Canis lupus familiaris: one gene and its partners. The protein of the gene in region 1 purifies or fractionates together with the protein of each later gene. This does not show direct contact. Links are inferred from orthologs where the notes say so. Each region holds a gene or a part of one and is shown on either strand. Other genes may lie near its edges.

The links.
Region 2: the proteins of PTEN (region 1) and CENPC purify together in Homo sapiens (affinity purification with western blotting; 3 studies listed by BioGRID, with this or other methods). This does not show direct contact. The link is inferred for Canis lupus familiaris from reciprocal best matches to the Homo sapiens genes PTEN and CENPC.
Region 3: the proteins of PTEN (region 1) and OTUD3 purify together in Homo sapiens (affinity purification with western blotting; 3 studies listed by BioGRID and IntAct, with this or other methods). This does not show direct contact. The link is inferred for Canis lupus familiaris from reciprocal best matches to the Homo sapiens genes PTEN and OTUD3.

The regions. Positions count from the first base shown.
Region 1 is NC_049247.1:38,115,243-38,122,987, reverse strand, and holds the start of PTEN (phosphatidylinositol 3,4,5-trisphosphate 3-phosphatase and dual-specificity protein phosphatase PTEN), read right to left. Parts: upstream 4,728-7,745; 5' UTR 4,620-4,727; coding exon 4,541-4,619; intron 1-4,540. UniProt on the Homo sapiens protein: Dual-specificity protein phosphatase, dephosphorylating tyrosine-, serine- and threonine-phosphorylated proteins.
Region 2 is NC_049234.1:58,900,353-58,907,492, forward strand, and holds part of CENPC (centromere protein C), read right to left. Parts: intron 6,194-7,140; coding exon 5,978-6,193; intron 3,700-5,977; coding exon 3,086-3,699; intron 1-3,085. UniProt on the Homo sapiens protein: Component of the CENPA-NAC (nucleosome-associated) complex, a complex that plays a central role in assembly of kinetochore proteins, mitotic progression and chromosome segregation.
Region 3 is NC_049223.1:78,312,486-78,319,625, reverse strand, and holds part of OTUD3 (OTU domain-containing protein 3), read left to right. Parts: intron 1-4,070; coding exon 4,071-4,202; intron 4,203-4,701; coding exon 4,702-4,798; intron 4,799-6,133; coding exon 6,134-6,318; intron 6,319-7,140.

The DNA of each region.
Region 1 (7,745 bases):
AATGCATGTGGCAGTAAGTGGCCTTTATAAAACAATTAAGGATATCAGTTTGCTCAGCAAATCCTTACGAACTTAAGGTTATGCAGTCTAACCTCAACATTACTGACAGCTCTGAGAGCAAATGCATTCATTTCAAAGCTACCAGACAGAAAGCCACTGTAAAACTGAATATTTACTGAAATCATTACTGACCCCTATCTCAGACGTTGATACAAATGTCTTAAGTCTCTCCATCCTTAGAACAAATTCTAACACATTTTCTCAAAGAATTCAGGTCACCAAAAGAATTCTCCAATGCTGACCTCACTTAAAATCAAAGTTTAGCTCACAAAAACAGAGAGGGAGAAAAAAGGTAAGAGTGAGGTCTCTGCAAGATAGAAACAGAACTTAAGAACTCGTGGTCTCTAAAGGGGAAAAAAAAAATGATATCAAAGAAATGTTTTACATGATAATTAATAACATAGCTTCTGGAAGCTAAATCCTTCCTTGTACCATGACCAAGCCCAAACATTCCAAGGAAGTGAGAAACTATCATATGCATGCACACTTCTCAATCTCTCTTTACAAACTCCATTTCACATACATTACTGTAGTATAAAAACATTTCCTACACATCTGTCTTACTAAAAAGGCTGAGGTCAAAACTTTACAGTACAATGTTTACTGAGAGTGAATTAATGTTGAAACTTTGTGCACTGATTTTCCCATAATAAATATTCCTTCATTAAAAGTCACTGAAGTGATTAAGTGGCTTAAGATATATTAAAAAGTACTAAGCTATCACCACACAAATCAACAGCAAACGGGGCAACTCTCAAAATGAGAACATGTGAAAATAAGAATCAGAGATTTCACTTCTAAAAACCAAGGAAACCTCGAACATTAAGAAGTTTGAGTATTTTTTTTGAGTGGTTATTAGGAAAAAGCAGATACACCGTCCCACATAAAAACTAAAATATCAATAGCCGCCTTTCTCGTGTTAAAGTAAAATTCTAAAAGGTAAGGAACACCAATGCATCTTTTTCTATGCTCTCTAAAAATAAATGTAAAACTACGGTGGTTATACCTCACCATATTTTATGACGCTTATTCATCTATTATTCATTTAGTGTATCATAAGCAATGTAAAATCTGTACTGATGGTTGTACTCCTGTGCAAACTTTTACAATGGACAGCAATAAAATTCCTTTTTCCTTATACAAAGTCATATAAACTGTGAATTATTCTCCTTTTAGATGCGCTCTATTCTTGAACAATCTTTATGAAAATGAAGTTTGTAAACTGTTACACAGCGATCAGGATGCCCAGTCATGTTGCTCGGAAAAGAAATACAACTTAGCAGATACAAAACAGTGTAAAATAAAAACTGTGAATAGAATCTTAAAAAAACAAAACAACTACAACAAAAAAAAAAAGAAAAAAAAAACCACCTCACAATACGGGCACTTCAGTAATCACTGATCTTAAAAGATAATACAGTTAACTTCCATAGTCACTGTTACCCTCTACAAGTTAAAAATACTCCCTATGGTTAATATTTGAAAAGACGCAAACTTATCAAGATGTAAAAATACATACAAACAGAGCCTAAAGTTCCCATGAAATCTAAAGACACTAAAATTTTTTTTAGTCTCATGGTCACCACCATTTTCCAGACTAACAGATGTTAACAAATTATTTTTAGGACAACTCAATTTTGCAAATAATCGTCTTCAGTTTTCCTCTGAGAAATCACTACGTTCTTCATCTTTCTTATCAGATAGAAATGCTCCAATCACTACTCTCATAAGGGAACGTAACTTCTCACAGGCTAGCTGCTGAAGCAGACACTACAACCTGCCAAAGTCCTCAATGGCCACCTTAATTTCCCCCCACAATACACAGAGAACCCTAAAGCGAAACCAAGCAAACCAAAGTGCACTGGTGTAATCAAAATTATTGGAAGTCCAACTAACAAAAAAAAAAAAAAAAAAAAAAAAGAGCCCTTCACTGACTTTTTCCTAAATGATTTTTTTTTCATATATTTGGCTCAATAAAACCACAACTCTAGAAATCAAGTGTTACTAGTCATTTGACGCAGCGTCTGACACTGCTTTCTATGCACACCCTAACTAAAAGTACCCTTCTAGTAACAGTCTCTAGGTCACGTAAATTTCAGGTATGGAGGCACACACCTGTGAAGTCAAAGGCGAGCTGGCCAACCAGCTCAGGACTCCTGTGTAAGAACCCCGCAGAACGATCTGAATCTTAAAGCCCTGACTATTTTAGAGCAAATGGGTAACGTAAAAATAAACCTACTCTGAATGATAAAAGCAATCTACCAAACAGCATCCACAGACATTGGTTTTTGCACGGGGATTTTTTCCTAAAAAGTCAAAGAAACGTGTAATCAATTTGTTCCTATACACCCAGACGGCTGTCAGTTCACACTAACGCTAGATTGCTTTTGAAATAAATTACAAATCAGAAGTTGTCCAGCAACTGGTCACCTTCTAGGCAAGCGGGTCAAGTTCAGCCTGACCAGTGTTGCAATCAATGCAGACTCCAAAACTTCTAAATAGTCTTCTAATACATAATTTTTTAATCAACAGAAAACTTACGTTTTGTGTGCTAGAAAGCTCCTTCTTCGGTGACTTTTACCTTCAGCTCAAAACAGACACTTGGGCAGAATTAGCTGTGCACGTTTATGTGCTGCTATGTAATCCAAAGGGAATTATAAAAAAAAAAAAAAAAAAAAAAAAACCTCTTCAGATGTAAAGAATTTTCTTCAAAAACCAAATCCTCCCCACAGTGTTTAGCAGGACATATGGATCCTTCAGCGCCACTCCACCTTTAGGCAAAATGTTTACTGGTGTTCGCTAAAAATGATCTTTATTAAGAATCCTCCAATAACAACCGACGCAATCACGTTTGAACTAAATACCGTCCACTGTTATAATTCACATCACCAAACTTCTGGCCTTCACAGAGGCCTTGTTAATAAGATGCTGTGGGCATCTCAGACCCACAAGTCAATTCTGTTTTTCATGCCTTAGACACTGGCCTAAGCAGGAACGCTGAACGCCTGTGATACTTTCCATTCTGGGGGAAAAAAAAAAAAAAAAAAAGGAGGGCTCTCTGCCCCAACTCTTGATCAAAACCAGTTCATTATACCTGAAACTGCCAAGATCAATGCCTTTCAATAACCGCTATCTTTTCAGGTACAAAGGCCTAACTTTTAGGCAACCGAAACGATACTCCTGTTAAAAATTCTCGGGTTTCTGTGTCATTCAACAACCTGAGTCAGTAAATTCAAGACACTGTGTGGAAAACCAGCTAACATACCTAGACCATGCGAAGCTGGAGTGATCCGCTCTTGCCTGCGTTGCTGGTGATTAGCTGGTAAATTACACCTGACCTTACACCCGAGCCCGAGTACAATTAACGGACATCACGCGGCGTCAGGAGTCCTGAAAGCTGGATGAGGTGAGCAGCAGTTCTGGACTCGCAGTGGCACTTGCATTTCAAGGAAGAACTGAAGCTTCATGTCTGCAATCACGATTTGCTGCACACAATACCCCAGAACCCACACAACACGCTCCTCCGGCATCAAGAAGCAGTCAATCCCCATTCTGCTACGTGAGACAAGACCACTGAACCTAAAATGCGGCTGAGCTGCAAAATCCCATGCCCTGTCCTGGATCACCCCATCAAGGGAGGGGGGAGGGGGGGAGGGGGAGGGGGAGGCAAATTTCAGAAAGACCGAGCAGCAAGAGCGGCTCAGGACGTGCGTTACCTGTGACACTATTGATCGCGAACTACACAACTTGGGAGAGGCAGTTCCCGGTTGTAATTCAACTCGGCGTGAGCACACGCGAACCTACTTTCTGTGCCCTCCAACGAACGCCCCGAGTGCTGAGAGCGATTCTGCTTCCAAAGTTATGCAAATCAGCTCACAACTCCCATTACGAATTAAAAAAAAAAAAAAAGTCTATCAATGCGAGCAACCCAGGAAACTAAATCACTGCGAGATTCTGATGCAATCTGCATACGTGCAACGCTAATTTTCATCTTCATCTAATCTGTGCCGTCGATCTGGGGGCCTAAAGCCAAGGTTTGACCGAAACGTGCTCGACCCCGGAGCCCGGGCGCCGCGTCCCCTCCGCGCGTCGGGCAGCCCGGGTTCCCGGCTCCGGGGTCCGCCGAGGGGCACCGAGTCCCGCGGGCGCGGACAATGGCCCTCCGGAGGGGCCGGGCGCGCGCAGGGCCGGGACCCGCCGCCGCCCGACAGCCGCGGCCGGGCGGAGGGGCGGAGGGGCGGAGGGGCCGGGGGCGCCGGGGCCGGGGCGCCGGGGCCGGGGCCGGGAACGAGGTCGGAGGCCGGGCCGGAGCCCCGAGGCCGAGGTCGGAGGCCGGGCCGGGGAAGCCGAGGCCGGGGTCCGGGGTGCGGGTGCGGGTGCGGGTGCGGGTGCGGGCGCGGGGTCCCGAGTCCCGGGTGCGGGTGCGGGTGCGGGGTCCCGGTGCGGGTGCGGGGGCCCGCGGCCGCGCGGAAAGGGATACAGGTCAAGTCCAAGTCGAACCCATCCTCCTGGTAGCGCCTTTTGTTTCTGCTGACGATCTCCTTGATGATGGCTGTCATGTCTGGGAGCCGGTGGCTGGAGAGGAAGGAGGAGAGAGACGGCAGGAGCGGCGGGCGGCGCGGCCTCCTCCGCAGGCTGCAGGCGGCCCCGGGCCTGGCGGCGGGCGGCCCTCGCGCGGCCGGGGCGGGCGTCGGCGGCGGGGCCTGCGCGCGCTCAGGCGGGCTGGCGGCCGCGGGCCGGGGCGGCGCCGGGGGGCCGGGCGGCCGGGCGGCGGCGGGGGGCAGGCTCTCGGGCGGCCCGGGGCCCTGCGCGCGCCGCCGCCGCCGCCGCCGTGGTGCGGGCGGGAGCGGGGGGGGCAGCGGGGCGCCGGCGGCCGCGGCCCCCTCCCCGGAGCCGCCGCCGCCCGGCCGGGCCCGCGGCTTCCACGGTCCCCCGCGCGGGGCGCCGAGCGACGGGAGCACGGCTAGACGCGGGCGCGGGGGGCGCGGGCGGGGGCGCGGGCGGGCGCGGGCGCGGGCGGGCGCGGGGGCGCGCGGGCGGGCGCGAGGGCGGGGGCGCGGGCGGGCGCGGGCGCGGGCGCGGGCGGGGGGGCGGGCGCGGGCGCGAGCGCGAGGCCGAGGCCGAGGGCGGGCCGCCCGCCGCTGCCGCTGCCGCTGCCGCTGCCGCCGCCGCCGGCCGGCCGGCTCCCCGAGGGCGCTGCCCCCGCGGCTGCTCACGGGCGCTGAGAGGGGCTCTGGGCCGCGGCCGCCGCCGTCTCTCATCTCCCTCCCTGCGCGCGGCCTCGCCTCTCCGCGGCGCAACTCTCAAACTTCCATCATGGCTGCAGCTTCCGAGACGAGGCGCCGAGCAGCGCGCACGCCCGCCCCGCCGCGTATCCTGCCGCGGCGCACAAAGAGTCCCGCCACGCCGCCGCCGCCGCCGCCGCCGCCGCCGCCGCCGCCGCCGCGAGCCCGGCGCCCCGGAGCCCGGGGGGAGGCGGGGGCCGGGGGGAGGCGGGGGGAGGCGGGGGCCGGGGGGGGCCGGGGCCGGGCGGGGGGAGGGGCGGGGGGCGACCGCCGCGCATGCCCAGTGCGAGCGGCCCCCGGAGCTGCACTTGCCGCGGCCGCTCCTGCAGCGGCGGACGGACGGACGGGCGGGCGGGGGCGTCGGGGACCCGAGTCGGACGGAGGTCGCCGCGCACCGGGGGCGCAGGGGGCGAGGGCGGGGCCAGCGGACCCGGGGCGCCCCTCCCCCGCCCGCAGCTCCCTGTGTCCGCCCCGTGTGCCCCCGCGTGTCCGCTCCCCGCGTGTCCGAGCACGAGGAACACCCCCACTATGGCCCTCGCGTGGCCACTGCCCCCGTGCCTGCTCCCCGCGTGTCGGTGTGACCACGAGCACCCCCCGCGCGTGTTCCCCCGTCCCTCCCGCATTGGTGTGAGCACGAGGACACCCACATTGTGCCCCCCGCGTGTCCGTCCCCCGCGTGTCGGCGTGAGCACGAGGAACACCGCCATTGTGTCCCCGCGTGTCGGTGTCCCCCCGCGTGTCCCCCCGTGCCTGTCCCTCGCGTGTCCGCCCCCCGCGTGTCCGCCCCCCGCGTGTCGGCGTGAGCCCGAGGAACTCCCCCCATTGTGTCTCCGCGCGTGTCCCCGCCCCCGGCTCGCCCCGCCGCCCCACCCCCGCCGCCGCGGGCCCAGGACCCCGGGGACGCGACCACCGCGCCGCCCCGGCCTCGCCCCCGAGAGCGGGCGTCCGTCCCTCGGGGCGCCTGCTGCCCGGTCCGCGCGGGGCTCGGGGCTCGGGGCTCCGGGCTCCGGGCTCCGGGCTCCGAGGCCGCCTGGCCCCGCCCCCCGCGGGCCGCCGCGAAAACCCGGCCGGCTGGATGGCCGCGGGCCGGCGTGGGCGTCCGCGCGTCGGGCTGCGCCCCGGGCCCGAGCCAGGAGTCCGGGCCGGGAGGGAGCGCCGGCCCGGCGGGTGGGCGGGGCCGAGGGGCTTCAAGGGGCGGCGGAGGGCTCCGCGGGCCGCGGCCGGGACTACTTCCAGGGGCGGTCACGTGTGCCCTAGTTGGGGAACTTTCCAAATTCCCAGTCCCCGAGGAGGGTCGGGGGCGGCCGGCGAGCGGCGGCGGTGGGGCGGCGAGTGGCGGGCGGCGGGCGGGCGCGGCGCCGGGGGAGCTGGTTACACAAGCACCCGCGTCCACGCACGTGCCCCCCGCGGCCGGACAGCCGGGGCCGGTGGCCGCAGAGCCGGGGCCGGCCTCGCCCTGCGGCGGCTGCGCTGCGCTGCGCTGCGCTTCCCTGCGGCGGCTGCGCCGGGCCCGGGGACTGTCGGGTGCGCCCCGCTGCGGGCCCCGCTGCTCGGAGGGCTCGGCCCGGCCGTGCGCCGCCACCGACCTGCCGCCTGAGCCCCGGCCCCCTCCACGCCGGCCGAGGGGCGCCGCGCCCGTTGCCCTGCCCGGGGAGCACCACCAGGCGGGCCGGGGCCGCCCAGAGGAGCGGGGCTGCAGCGGGGCCGGAGCGGGGCCGGAGCGGCCTGCGGGTGAAGCGCAGGGAAGTGACGCGCCGCCCGGGGAGGTGCGCCAGGACGCGGAGGCCGCCCGGAGCGGCTGTCCCGGCGCGCGGTGCTCGCAGGCGGCCCTCGCTACGCCCGCGGCGCCCAGAGCGCCCCTCGGATGGCCCCGGCCCCGGCCCCGGCCCCGCCCTCGCGCTCGGCCTCCCTCCGGGGAGCGCCGCAGGAGGTCGCAACCTGCGGGACCCTCGCGGTCCGTGTCGGTCGGAGCCCGCGTGGGGCGGGGGGAGGCCACACGTAGAAGAGGGAAGCGGGCGGGGGTCCGGGGGAGTAGGGGAGGGCTCCGTCGGGTCTCCAGAACCGAAACCCGCGTGCGCGGCCTGCGGTGGGCCAGAGGCTACGCGGGACGCCCTGCCCTCCAGCTGTGCCGCCGGGTCGCAGGGTTCCGGAGCCGAGCTGCGCTGCCCCGAGCAGCGGATGCTGCTACCTGGTGGGGGATGGGAGACGAGGAGCAGGTTCAAGGAAGGGAGGTCGGCGGCGGAAGGCAGAACTTCGCACCTGTGTCTCCGGTTGCCGACCCCGCCCGGGGTCCCTGCCGTGAGCGCGCGCTCCCCTGCGCCTCCCCGGGAGCTGCCCTACCTGGGGAGGAGTCTGCGGTGCCCTGGAATCCACCTCCCCGGGAGGAAAGGGGCCCGGCGC
Region 2 (7,140 bases), on another chromosome or scaffold:
ACAACAAGAAGGAAAAATCAGGGAAATACAAGATATTTCAATACAAATATTACAGCAAAGAGGGGCACAACCACCAAAACGGAAAATTTTTTTCAGGAAGAGGTTTAAAATATTAGATGTTAGTAGACAGAATGAAAAATTTTCTTGATCATCAAATAAATCAAGAAACCAGCATTTATGAAGCATCTGAGAAAAGACTTCTGATCCAAAAAAAGAATTAAACCCCTATTAAGTAGGAAATATTCATGGAGTAAACAAATTACATAAAGTCTGTAAGACCAAAGGAGCAGATAGGTATTATACATAATCACATAATTAAAGATGAAACTGTACAGAACTTTTCAAAAAGATGAGAACATAATTCGGGTTGAAATCTGGAAATACAGGAAATACAAGACCAGACTTTTACTCTGAAGGTAAATTTGGGAAAATAATTCAGATGGAAGCAAAGGAATAATTTTCTCAAGGTATGAATATAAAGGAAGAACAAAGGGCAAACTATTAAACTTGAGGAATATGGAAAGAATCACGAAAATTTATAAGTGAAATGAGAAAAAGAAGTCAATAAAGAATAGAAGGAAATCAAACAAAAAAATAGGAGAATCAGACTTATCCTGGATTATCTAGGCTGGTCCAATCTAATTATATGTGTTCTTAAAAGTAGTGGTCAGAAAGGGCAATGGAAGAAGAGGTAAAAGAAAATGGAAATGTAAGAAGGCTGGTATTGCTGGCTTGGAAGATAAAAGAAGGAAATCATGATACAAGGATATAAACAACTTCAAGAGGCTGGAAAAGACAAGGAAGCAGATTCTCACCCAGAATCACAAGAAAAGCAACCTTGTCAACACATTGATTTTAGCCCAATGAAATCTATTTCAGATTTGTGACCCATAGAACTATAAAATACATGTATGTTTTTTAAGTCACTAAGTATGTGGTAATTTGTTATGACAGTGATAGAAAATTAATACAACTGGTAATTAATCAGAAATTATAGTCACTAAACAATCTAGATAAAGAAGAATTTAATATACCTGAAAATCAATGTGAAGAATTTGGCATTTAATTAAACAGAGTATCCTTCAAGTATACTTTCTTGATACAATGTTTTTTTCCTAAGAACTTAGGATAAATAAAAATTTTTGTAGCTTCAAATTTTGTGAATTCATATTTTAAGGGACTAATAAGAAAAAAAACTTTCCTATAATGTAACTTCAGTTTAGTCAGATTCTTTTTATTTTCTTAAAATACCCACCTCCTGAGAAAAGGAAAGGCAGGCAGGCAGGCAGGCCAGCCAGCCGGCCAGCCTGGGTGGCTCAATCACTTAAGCATCTGCCTTAGGCTCAGGTCATGATTCCAAAGATTCTGGGTTCTAGCCCTGCTTCATCCGGCTCCCTGCTGAGCGAGGAGTCGGTTTCTCTCTCTCCCTCTGCCACCACCACCCTGCTCATGCTCTCTCTCTCTAATAAATAAATAAAAATATTTTTAAAAAATAACCTGGGACATTTGGACATTTACAAGAGAGGTCCACAAAATAAAAACGGTGGCTTTTTTCTCCCTTTATTTTAAGCAGAATTTTTCAAATACACAAAGGTACGAACAGACAAAACTAATGTGTGACAACCATTAATTCAGGTAATTTAAAGTCTATGTTATAGATTATACAAAAAGAAAGCTAAAGTAATTGAATAAGTAATAATTAAAGTGGAATTTTTCATAAAAACTAGCTTAAACACCGTACTTTACCTCTTTCTCCCTTCTTTATCAGCAATATGTTATAGTCATCTAGAACCTCTAGGTACAAACACAATTATAGTGAAGAGAGTTTTCTGGTTAACTAATAGTTTTTTCAAATGACTACCAAAAACACTTCCACTTATTTCAAAACTTCTTTATAGTGCTTAAAAAATATAGGCTCTGGGATCCCTGGGTGGCGCAGCGGTTTAGCGCCTGCCTTTGGCCTAGGGCGCAATCCTGGAGACCCGGGATCGAATCCCACATCGGGCTCCCGGTGCACGGAGCCTGCTTCTCCCTCTGCCTGTGTCTCTGCCTCTCTCTCTCTGTGACTATCATAAATAAATAAAAATTTAAAAAAAATATTAAAAAAAATATTAAAAAAAAAAATATAGGCTCTAACGAGGAGACAGATCCTCAGCCAGTTTTTTTAACCTTGAGTGTTATCTCCTAACATATGGGATTATCAAGAAGGATTAAATTATATTATGTACATATAAAATATCTAATACATTTATTAAGTGTTTTCTATTCCATTAACTATTCTAAAGAAACCTGTAAGAAAAATTACCTTTTCTATTACTTAGAAAGCGGTATAAAGAATATAAATGGATCTTTTCTTCATGAGAGTTTCATCATTACAAACCTTAATCACTATACAATAATGACATAAAGAGGATAACCATACTCCAGCTTTGTCTGAGACAATCTCAGTTTATGCTTCCTGTCCTGAAATCCCTTTTAATTCTCAAGTCTCCCAGCTTGGATAAGTAATATAGTGAAACAAGATAAAAAGATCTATTGAGATATTACTTGGATAACTGTCTCTAATTCTACTACTGGCCTATGAATATATGTGTATATCTGCTAGTCTACAGACACTACTAGATCGATTTTTTTAATGGTGATAACTGTGTCTCAGTAATCTTTGTTAATTTCACTACCTAAATACAGTGTCTAGCAATTTACTGTTAGATTAATGAGAAAATGATGGAATAAAAGAGTATGAATTTTATTCTGTAATAAATAGCCCCATACTAATCTTGTTTTTTTCTTCCCAGTTTATATTTCAATAAACCTCAAAGAATATATGATGTTGTCTTATTCATATTCTGGTAACTACCTGGTTTATGAGTCTTTCCCATTCACTTTTCCCTTTATATATACTACCATCTTAGAAGCTACACAAAACTCAAGTGACTCAGAATTTAGTTGTAGGTAAAAGACAGATGCTAGAAAAGAGCCTACAGATTTAGTTTTACTTTGCCTACTTCCCAAAGCTAAACAGAAATATTATAAAAACAAAGTTGTGGAATACTGTTCATAGTTATACTTAATATAAAACACTTACCCACAGGCAGCATCTGTTTTTTGGAAATACCAACATTTATCACCTTTTCACACTCTTCCATATTTCTATCTGAATTTCTCTGTAATTTATCTTGGGTGATATGTGACACATTTATATTGTTATCTTTCGATTGTTCCATATCAACCTGTTCTTCAAGGATATTGGCCTTAAATTTTCCTCTCTCTTGTTGTTGTATAGTCTTTTTCTTTCCAGATGATTTCTCTGCATTCTCATAATACATTTCATGTTTTGTAGATCTATAATCATTTTCCAGTTCATTTGTCGAAGCACAACTTCTACCCAGTCTTCTTTGTTCAGAGGGCGGAGACGTCTCTACTGCATAAGCTGTGTCAGAATGTTTGTCACTTGTCAAAGCTGTAGGTGACAGGCTGTGATGTTTTTCTTTTGACTTCTTACTTTGAAGTAGTGCAGAGCTCTCTGCAGGGTACACTGTGCACTGTTTCAGAGACCCAGCCTTTCTGGGTATAGTAATCCAAGGTTGACTGGCAATACTGCTTTCTGATTCATCAATTATAAATTCATCCTCTAACAACGTTAGGTCATTTGAAGGAGATGAATGAGGTGGAGCAGTTGCTATATGCCTAACAACAGGACTAAACAGGATGTTACAATAAGTAATAGCTCAAAAAATAAAGTTTTTACCTTTGCTTTGTGAAGAAAATAATCTAAATAGGAAATATAATCTATGTATCTTTTAAAGAACAGTATACATCTCGTCAATTTTCTCTTACCCTTGAAAATCCTCCTCTCCTTTTACATTTCTGTAATACCCAATTATACTCATTTAAAACACTAATGAAATCACAGAAGTTCAGAGCTGGAAGGAAGCCTAGACATCAACTAATTTAAGGCTCCCCCAACCCATTATATATATTGAATAGTTGAAACCCGCAGATGTGTTAAACAGCCCAGAGACATTGACCTACAGTCCAAAAATGCATGCCATTATTATTTATACTGTTATACTAATTCTAGGTCTGTATAGATGTCTCTTAGGGGCCAGATTTCTTTACATCCAAAACAATGTCATTTCCAAGGCATCTTCAAGTATAATAGTCTAAGAAAACACTACAAATTTATGCACTAAATAATATAAAAATTCATTCCAAGTTTGATAATCACATACGTCTTCAAATAAGTTTTAATATTGGAATCACAGTATAGAAATAAATGAAAAGTATCTAGAAAGGTAATCTAATAGGAATTAAACAGCATCTCTTCCAATTAGTTGGGAAAGCTTTCTAGAGAAGGAAGGAATTATTCAAAGGATAGTAATCTGATGGACTCTTCTGCATTTCCTTCGTTTTTATAACAACAGCCTCAAGCAAAACACCTACTGAAGTGAGATATGCATAAGTAAAAACTTAGGGTAAACACCCAAACTCTGAAGCTAGCATATGTACTCCTGTTTCTGCCTTTTCCGCTTGAGTCAGGATCCTTAAGCATTATCGTGTCTGCCTCTTCTATATTTTCATTAATAAAATATACAAAAAGATTATGAAATGAAAATGCCTTCTCTACTTTTCTAATCTCAAACCCCTGATAAATCTTATAATCTCTATATATAAATATATATATATTTATACACACACACACACATATATATACACTAAGAAATATACTATCTTCTAACAAGTAGAGTTTTGCAAGTTTATATGATTAGAAAACTCTAGAAAATCTAATGAATACCAAGTCAATATAAATAGAAAACCACAATGTATGAATATTTAAACAGAAATATTACTTTTCAACATTTAGAGAAATAGCCAATCTGTTATAAACAGGTTTAATTTGCCTTACTGTATATAACTCATCTATTAAGTTTTTGTATATAAAGAAGTAATGCTAAGAATTTAAAAATTAAGCCTTCCTAAACCGGCCAATAAGAATTCTCTAAATTTGCGCCTCTATTTTACTTCAAGGGACTTCCAAAACATCATGATTAGTCAAACTGAAGATATCCTTAGGAAACAACGTTGACACTTGCTATAGACTGAATGTCTGTATATTTCCAAAATTTATAAACTGAAACCTAATCCCCAGTGGAATAGTATTTGGGGATGGGGCTTTTACAAGGTGATTAAGTCATGAGGGTAGAACACTAATGAATAGAATTAACACCCTCATAAAAGAAGCCTCAGAAAGCCTTCTTGCTATCATCTGCCATGTGAGGTTGTAGAAAGAAGATAGCCATCCATGACCCAGGAAGCAGATGTCACCAGAAAAGAAAAAGACTAGCATATGACAAGGGAAAAATGGTATGCCAAAACAGACAAATGCAAATGTGTATGACCAAGTTGGCAGAAACAGGTAACCAGGGAGAGTGAAGGTTTTAAATACCAGCTGACAAATCTGAAGTTTATATAGGCCAGTGGTTCTCAACCCTAGCTGACATTAATTGTAGTTAACTGTAATGTGCAGCCAGTTAAGATCACTGTATGGACACTGAAGAACCTCTAAAGGTTTTAAGGAGGCCAAAACAGACTAAAATTTATTAACACAAGCAGAAGAAAAGTAAAAGTGTTAAAGCCCTTAATAGTGAAATACATCATGACATAATTCTGTTTCTAAATACTGCCTTCATTCTTTGGTATCATACAGATTTGAAAGTGCTAATGAACAGAAGCAATGAAAGCTGAAAAAACTTACTGTCTTTCACATTTAATTTAGTAGATATTTAATGATGGCTTTGGGAGTGATTTGCTGTGAGAGTTAGGCATAATTTCAATTAAAATTTGTACCAAATAAGATTAACTTCTATATAAATAGCATTTAGCATTAAGAATCTATTTAAATAGCATTAAGAATCCTTGATATTGTTCACAGAATGTAAAATAAAATTGCCTCAAAGGCAGCTTCTTAGTAACTCACCTGGATTCACTTTTTCGTTTTACAGTTTCTAAAAACAATGTTGAAAAACTTTTTTTAGTTTGTGGCTGAATTTCATCTTCTGAGTCTTGTACTCTTTTCTGAGATATTCTTAATGATCTCCTCTTTTGTGTTTCTTCTGATACTTTATCTTCTATTTCTGATACTTTATTTGCTATTTCTCCTTTCTTCAAAACACTTTTTTCTTCAAAATTTAACCTTGAAGGTTAAAAGGAAGGCAAGTTGTATAATCTCACAGTTTGCTGAGTTATAAGTTTTCCTGAACAATAAAGTTTTCAGTGACAATACAGACCACTTACAAAATTTTCCACTAGGCCGGGACACTTGGGTGGCTCAGTGGGTTGAGCGTCTGCCTTTGGCTCAGGTGGTGATCCCAGAGTCTTAGGATCAAATCCTGCATCAGGCTCCCCCTCTGGTTCTCCCTCTGCCTATGTCTCTGCCTCTTTCTTGGTCTCTCTTATGTATAAATAAATAAAATCTTAAAAAAAATTTTTTTTTCCACTAGGCCTTTAAAATCTCCACGTTCTGATCTGTAATCTCTTAAAATATACAAAGAAAATTACATTTCTTATTTGTCAATGGAAAAAAGTAAGAGATAGACCAAGGAAATCTGTATCTTAGAGGACTAGTTCTCAAACATTTCATGAGATTTTGAATAATCTGAAAAATCTTATCAAAATATAGATTCTGATTCAGTAGGTCTAAAGTAGGCTTTGAGATTCTGTATTTCTAAAAAACTGCCAGATAATGCATCCACTGTTCTTGATCCTGAGCCACAGAATATTCTGAATAGCAAAATCTTAGAATGTACTTAACTCCTTGGCTCCAAGAATTACACAAGACACTAGGCAGACAGTTACACTCATTGCAAAGGTACCCAGCAGCAAAGGACTTTGAATGATCTACTTTGCCTCTTAAAGGCCAAAATGAAAGCCCCAAGAAACAGACATAGATTTACCACAATTTACCCTCAAAATACTTACCTTCTGCTACCCTACAAATGACCCAACACATACCTACCACTGTAATTACAAATGACACAGAGAAAATACTCTTAGGAAGTTATAGAAAACATATTATCAGAAGAAAATACTTTTTTTTCCAGCCTATAGAAATGTTTACCCACAAACTTCTCTGAAGCATAC
Region 3 (7,140 bases), on another chromosome or scaffold:
CCCTTGTTTGTTTTCTTAAGTGATTTTTCAGGAGCCTTTACATATTAAGCCCTGTCTGTGGTAGGATCTGCCAATATTTTTTTGCAGTCTGTCCATTTGTCTTTTTATTCCTTCTCCAACAATCTTTGCTGTGGTGTTTTAGGTTTTTATGAGGGTAAATATCAGGTTTTTAAATTTTATTTATTTTATTTTATTTTATTTATTTATTTTTTTACATATGTCTTCTGAGTTTTGGGTCATAATTAGGAAGGTCTTTCATACTCTGAGGTTAAAAAGAATTCTCCTATAGTTTATGCGGTTTTGCTTTTTTTCAAAGAAAAAACCACTTTTGTGGTTTTGTTTTTTTCAAAGAAAATTATGTATCTTGTACCTCTTTGGAATTTATATTCCCATAAGTATGTGAGTGTATGGATCCAACTTTATATTTTTCCTTGTGGTTACTTACCTAGTTGTATCCAAGCCATTTAATTATTACATATCTTCTCCACTGATTTAAAATACCACTTTTTTTGCATATAAAATTCCCATATGTAGTTGGGTCTATTTCTAGATGTTGGTTCTATTTCACTGGTTTCTCTGTTCATGTGTTAATGTGTTTGTTGTTTTGATTAAGAGCATATTTTAAAATCTGATAGAGATTTACACCTGGTGGCTCAGTTAGTTAAGCATCTGCCTTCAGCTCAGGTGGTGATCTGGATCCTGGGATCGAGTCCCACGCCAGGCTCCCCGCATCGGGCTCCCTGTTCGGCTGGGAATTTGCTTCTCCCTCTGTGTGTGTGTGTGTGTCTCAAAGAAGTGAAATCTTGAAAAAAAATCTGGTAGAATTTTTCACTTATCATTACTTTTCTTTCTTTATAATTTCCTGCATATTCTTCCTTTTCTTGTGTGTTATGTATAGATATTAGAATAAGGTTGTCAAGTTAAAAGGAAGTCCTCTTGATTTTGTTTTTATTGGGATCTCATTAAATAGATAGATTAACTTAAGGAAAAAGTGACATCTTTATGATGTTGAATCTTCCTAGCCAAGAGACTGATAAGCCTTTTTTGTTTTGTTTTGTTTAATTGACTTTTTTGGTGATCTGAGGAGCATTTGCTTCCTATGGATCTTGCCCATTTTTTGCAGAGTGTGTTCTTAGGTGTTTTGTGTTTTTGTTTCTATTGTAAGGAAAGAATCTTTCCTTTTTATTTCCTAGCTGCTTATCATTTGTGTATATGAGAGTTAATAAAATGTTAATTTTGTGCACGCCCAGCTATCCTGCAGAATTCTTTTTTTTTTTTTTAATTCAGGTAAAATTGGGATGCCTGGGTGGCTCAGCGGTTTAGCACCTGCCTTTGGCCCAGAGCGTGATCCTGGAGTCCTGGAATTGAGTCCCACATTGGGCTCCCTGCATAGAGCCTGTTTCTCCCTCTGCCTGTCTCTCTGCCTCTCTCTCTCTGTGTGTCTCATGAATAAGTAAATAAAATCTTTAAAAAAAATAAATTCAGGTAAAATTCATGTAACATAAAATTAACTATATATATATATATATATATATAAATTAAATTAAATATAAATAAATTAATTAAATATATATATTTAAGTAGGCTCCATGCTCAGCATAGAGCCCATTGCAGGGCTTGAACTCAGGAGCCTGAGATCAAGACCTGAGATCAAAAGTCAGACCTTTAATCGACTGAGCCACCCAGGTGCCACCCACATAATTTTAAAATGTACGATGTACTGTCACTGCGTACACCCACAAAGCTGTGCAGCTCCTTCCTCCATCCAGTTCCAGAACATTTTCCTTACCCAGTAGGAAACCACGTGCCAATAAAGCAGTCACTCCCCATTCCTTTTCTCCCTGAGCTGCCACCAGTCTGCTTTATGTCTGTGTGGATTTGCCAGTTCTGGATATTTTCCATAAATGGGATCATATAGTATGTGAGCTTTTGTGACTAGCTTATGTCACTTAGCATCATGTTTTCAAGGGTCGTCCATGTTGAAGCAGGTGTCCGTATTTCATTCCGTTCTAAGAGTGAATCCTATTCCATAGTGTGGATAGAGTCCATTCCATCATCCTTTCATCTCTTGATAAGCATTTGGGTCATTTCCACTTTAGGCTCTTGTGAATAGTGCAGTTATGAATATTTGGGTGTAGTATTAAGGTCCCTTTCTTCAGTCTTCTGGATACGTACCCAGGAGTAGAATTGCTAGGTCATGTGTTTATTAACTTCTTGAGGAACTGCCACATTGTTTTCCATAGTAGCTGTACCATCTGACATTGCCACCAGCACTGTATTCAGGGTTCCACTTTCTTCACACTCTTACCAACACTTGGTATTTTTTCCTTCCATCTTTTTAAAATTATGGGTATCCTACTAGGTATGAAGTGTAATCTCATGGTTTTGATTTGCATTTCTTTAATGACTAATGATGTTGAACATCTTTTCATGTGTTTGTTGGCCATTTGTATGTCTTTGGAGAAATGTCTGTTCAAGTCTTTTGCCCATGTTTTAATTGTGGTATTTGTGCTTTTGTTGTTCCATTATGAGAGTTCTTTATATATTTTGTATACTAGATTCTTGTATATGATTTTCCAGAATCCTTTTTGTTTGTGGTAGATTTTTGGTTGATTCTCTTGTTTTTTTTTTTTTTTTTTTTTTTTTTTTTAGGTGTAGAATTATATCATCTACAAATAATGGTAATCTTTCTTCTTCCTTTTCAGTTTCATACTTTTGTTTTTTGGGGGCCAGGAGGGCCAGTTGCATCGGCTGTTACCTCCAAAACATTGTTAAATAATAATGGTAGTGAAAATGTTTATTGAGCTCCTTACTTTAATGGAAATGAAGCATCATTGTGTGGATTTTCCATGGTTATTTAACCATCCACACACCGTGAAATCCTCAGGTTGTTTGCAGGTATTCACCACTATTAGAAGCGCTGTGGTGAGCACTTTTACATGAATCCTTTCTATAGTTGACATGATTTGACATTATTTCCTTTGGATAAATTTTAAAGACTTGATACACATGGCCAGGTTGTTTGGGTATAATTTTATAATGGATGGCTTTGATTGTAAGGAATGGACTGTACACTGCTGGATTCCGCTTATACTTTTGCATGCAAATGAATAGGAATTTGTCCTTGCCTATTTTCCATCTACCCATGTTAGTGGGAAAGGAAGGGAGAAGGTGGCTGATCAGCCCCAGAAGGATGATTTTAGCTATTCTTAATAAGCTTAGGTTGGGAAAGGCCTTATGGATACCATGTGAACTGTTCTTTGTGTTTTTAGAATTTGGATGGCCAGGTTCCCTTGCATGTGGTGGTATGCATGTGGTTAGATGACGTCAGGTGAGGTTAGATGAGTCATACTCACCTGAGACTGTCCAGCCGGGACAGGAGCTTCAGCACACTGAAGCTTGCTGATAGTCAGGTAGGGCCTAGGGACCCAGATGAGAGATGTATGAATGCTTCTTCAAGACATCTTGTCTTGCTGCAGAAGTCACTGGGTGAGCTTCTGTTACTAAGCTCCCAGCTCTAGAAATCAGCTGACACAAATGTGTGCTGCTTCAAGTCAGTGGTCATTGCAGAATGTTGGTATCTAGGAACTACATAGGAATGCTAATGCTATTCTTACAGTTTATCCTATTTCTTTTTTTTTTTTTTTTTTTTTTTTTTTTTTTAAATTTTTTTTTTATTTATTTATGATAGTCACAGAGAGAGAGAGAGGCAGAGACACAGGCAGAGGGAGAAGCAGGCTCCATGCACCGGGAGCCCGACGTGGGATTCGATCCCGGGTCTCCAGGATCATGCCCTGGGCCAAAGGCAGGCGCCAAACCGCTGCGCCACCCAGGGATCCCGTTTATCCTATTTCTTGATTCTTTCTTTTTCATACTTCTGTTGTGGTTTTGGAATCTCCATGTCTGGATGAAATTTAGCCTAGTCATTACTAGTCCTTAAGATTGTTCCTGGAATCTTTTCCACATAAATACATATTAGAATAATTTTGAAATTTGAATGTCTTCTTGTGTTGAAGATGCTGAACATAATTTGTATGTTCCATGATTATTACTCTTTATATTTCCTTTAGTTTCAGATGCTTCATCAAGATGAATCCAATAAAAGGGAAAAGATCAAGACGAAGGGCATTGACTTTGAAGATGACCTGAGAGATGAAGTAGAAGATGCTGTCCAGAAAGTTTGCAATGCAACTGGTTGTTCAGTGAGTATTTCTGTCCTGTAGTAATGACAGTGGATGAACAACTGTTGCTATCCCTAGTTTACCTGCCAGTTTCATAGTACCAGTCTAGCTGCTCACACCCAGTGGGCCAGAATAGGTTCATGATGTCTGTGGTTTGATTAGAAGACTTAAATGAGAGCTGTTTATTCATTTATCTCTTGTTTGTTAGACTTTACCCAGTGCTGCTCAAAATCCTAAGAAGTATGTGGGGTTTATTTTTTTATTTTTAATTTTTTTTCCTGACTAGCTAAACATTTACCCTAGTAAAAGTGCAGTCTTGTAAAGGAATTCATTTATATTAAATGGTTAGTTATTTCAGATGACCAGCCTTATTGAAAATTAAGACATTTTCTAAATGGAAAAGGTCTTGAAACCATGCCTCAGTTCTCACTGTTACCTCTTCTTGTGTATCAGGCTGTTGACGTAGAGGCAGGTAGAAGAGTATACCCAGTCTTGAAGTGTTCCTTTGTTTCTTGGATAGGATTTTAATTTGATAGTCCAGAACCTGGAAGCTGAAAATTATAATATTGAATCTGCAATAATTGCCATGCTTCAGATGAACCAGGGGAAAAGAAATAGTAAGTCCATGATTGATATTTATAAGCTTTCAAAATGGTTGTATTGGTGATTCTCCAAACATTTGTTTTTAATCAAGGCATAGGTAGTGATTACACTGTCATTTATCACTTTCTGCATGTGGGCATGTTGTATGAGATCCTAGCCCTGCCTTAGGGAGAAGATAATCTGGAGTTGAGGGGGGCAGAGGGGAGATAATAAACTGGTATAATAATACCTACTGGAGTTGAGGGTATAGGGAACTGGGGAAATGGATGGATAGGCCACCTAACTAGTCTTGGAGGGATGGAGAGTGTCAGGGAAGACTTTATTCTTTTCAAAAGAAAAATCCCTTAGAAAACCAAAATGATAACTGAAATAGAATAGAGAGAGAAATAACTTATTTTTCTAATGGAAATATTTAGATACTAACATCTATCAGCTGGTGATAAATCAAGATTTTTTTAAACTTTTTTTTTTTTTAAGATTTTTATTTATTTATTCATGACACACGCACAGGCAGAGGGAGCAGGCCTCCTGCAAGGAGCCTGATATGGGACTCGAACCTGGATCCCGGGATCAGACCCTGAGCCAAAGGCAGACGCTCAACCCCTGAGCCACCCAGGCATCCCGGATTTTTTTTTACTTGAATTGGGTTAAATTCTGTGCCTCAGGAGATGGGAAAAAAGATGTAGAGTCTTAACTGTTTTTACAAGTTACTTATTAAAATGGTACAGTATTGCCACATACAAAATACATATTGCCAGTATGTGTCAGATACTGTTCCTGGCATTATAGTTTTCTGTGTGTTTGAGTATTTTATTATCCTCTTTATATTTTTGCTGTGCTTTCTTAGAAAGCTGTCAGGGACTCGGTCTTTGTGACAGTAAAACACCACTGTCTAGTGTCTCTGTCATTCAGTATAGTGTGTATTGGACATGTGTGGCTCAGTGAGTAAGGAACTAAAGTTTAAATATCATTTAACTAATTAATTTTAACTTAAATGGCCACATGTGGCTGGTAGCTGCTGTTTTGGGCAGTACAGGTTTGAAGCCTGTTTCCTTTCTGGGCTTTAGGTGCAAATGAAGGATTTCCTCCTAAAAATACATGTTAAAAAATAGTTTAATAAAAACACTCTGTAGGTGGGAAGCTGATGATTAGGCTGGTCAGCAGGTTATTTTTAAATTTATCTTCCAGATACTACTGGTTATTTCCCCACTAGGTTCCCTACTGTATGGTCTGGGTGTTAGAGTTTTGCTTCAAGGAAACTTGTTCTCCACATGACAGGTGATATTGGAGTCACTTAACAGTGTGTGTTGTTACATTCTCAATTTTAATTAAATACCTTTCTTTGGAAGATACAGAGGAGAACCTTGAGTCCGGCGGCCGAGTTCTGAAGCAATGTGGCCCTTTATGGGAGGAGGGTGGCAGTGGCACCCGACTCTTTGGAAATCAGGGTGTAAATGAAGGCAGAACTGAAAACAATAAGGAGCGGGCCAGCCCTAGTGAAGAAAACAAAGCAAATAAAAACCAGCTCCCAAAGGTATGAAAGGTGGGCTGCTGTAATTCACTGGCAGTGGTGGGGAACTTGGAGCTCATATTAGTGCCTCTTTTTTTCCTGAGTTCTAAAAAGAAGTTACTGTAGAAAAAAATACGAGAGTGCATATGGGGATGTCAAGAAGCAGAAGGAGGTCCTTGCTTGTCTGTTTTGCTATGTGCGGTGCTGAATAGAACTATGCCCTGAAATCCTCCTCTATGTACACACACACAGCCTCCCTTTCCTGCTCAGTGTCACTGTGTGTCTGGGTGCTTCGGTGTTAATCTGTTACACAATCCCCATAAGTCATCTCCATTGAGAAACTTTGTGTATGAATCTTTGTATTTTGCATTGTTGTTACTATTTTTTTTTTTGTGGCTAGAGTCCCAGAAGAGGAATGGACAAATTAAAGGGTATGGATATTTGAATCTTTTTAAGGCTTTTTGGTAAATTGTCAGATGGTTCCCAGAAGGGTTATCTGTCTCCCTCCCTGCCCCTGACTCCTGCAAGTAGGTATATGACACCATTCTTTTTACTGACTTTGGAATTCATTTTAAAGACTTTCACCAAGCAGTTCTAAGCCCAACATGCAGCATAATGTAAAAAGCCACAGGCAGAGGTAAAGATGCAATAAGCTTCTGAGGATTTTGTTAGGATTACCTGGGGCATTAAATTATGTAGAGAAAGGTGTCCTGTGGCATGTTGGAGCATTATCTCTTGCAGAACCAGGGTTAATGTTTCTCAGGTCATTGTGTATTGGATTATGAGGAGAATGAATTGATTTCATTTACTAGCTCAGCAAGGGGATAGAAACGTAAGTGTAAATTT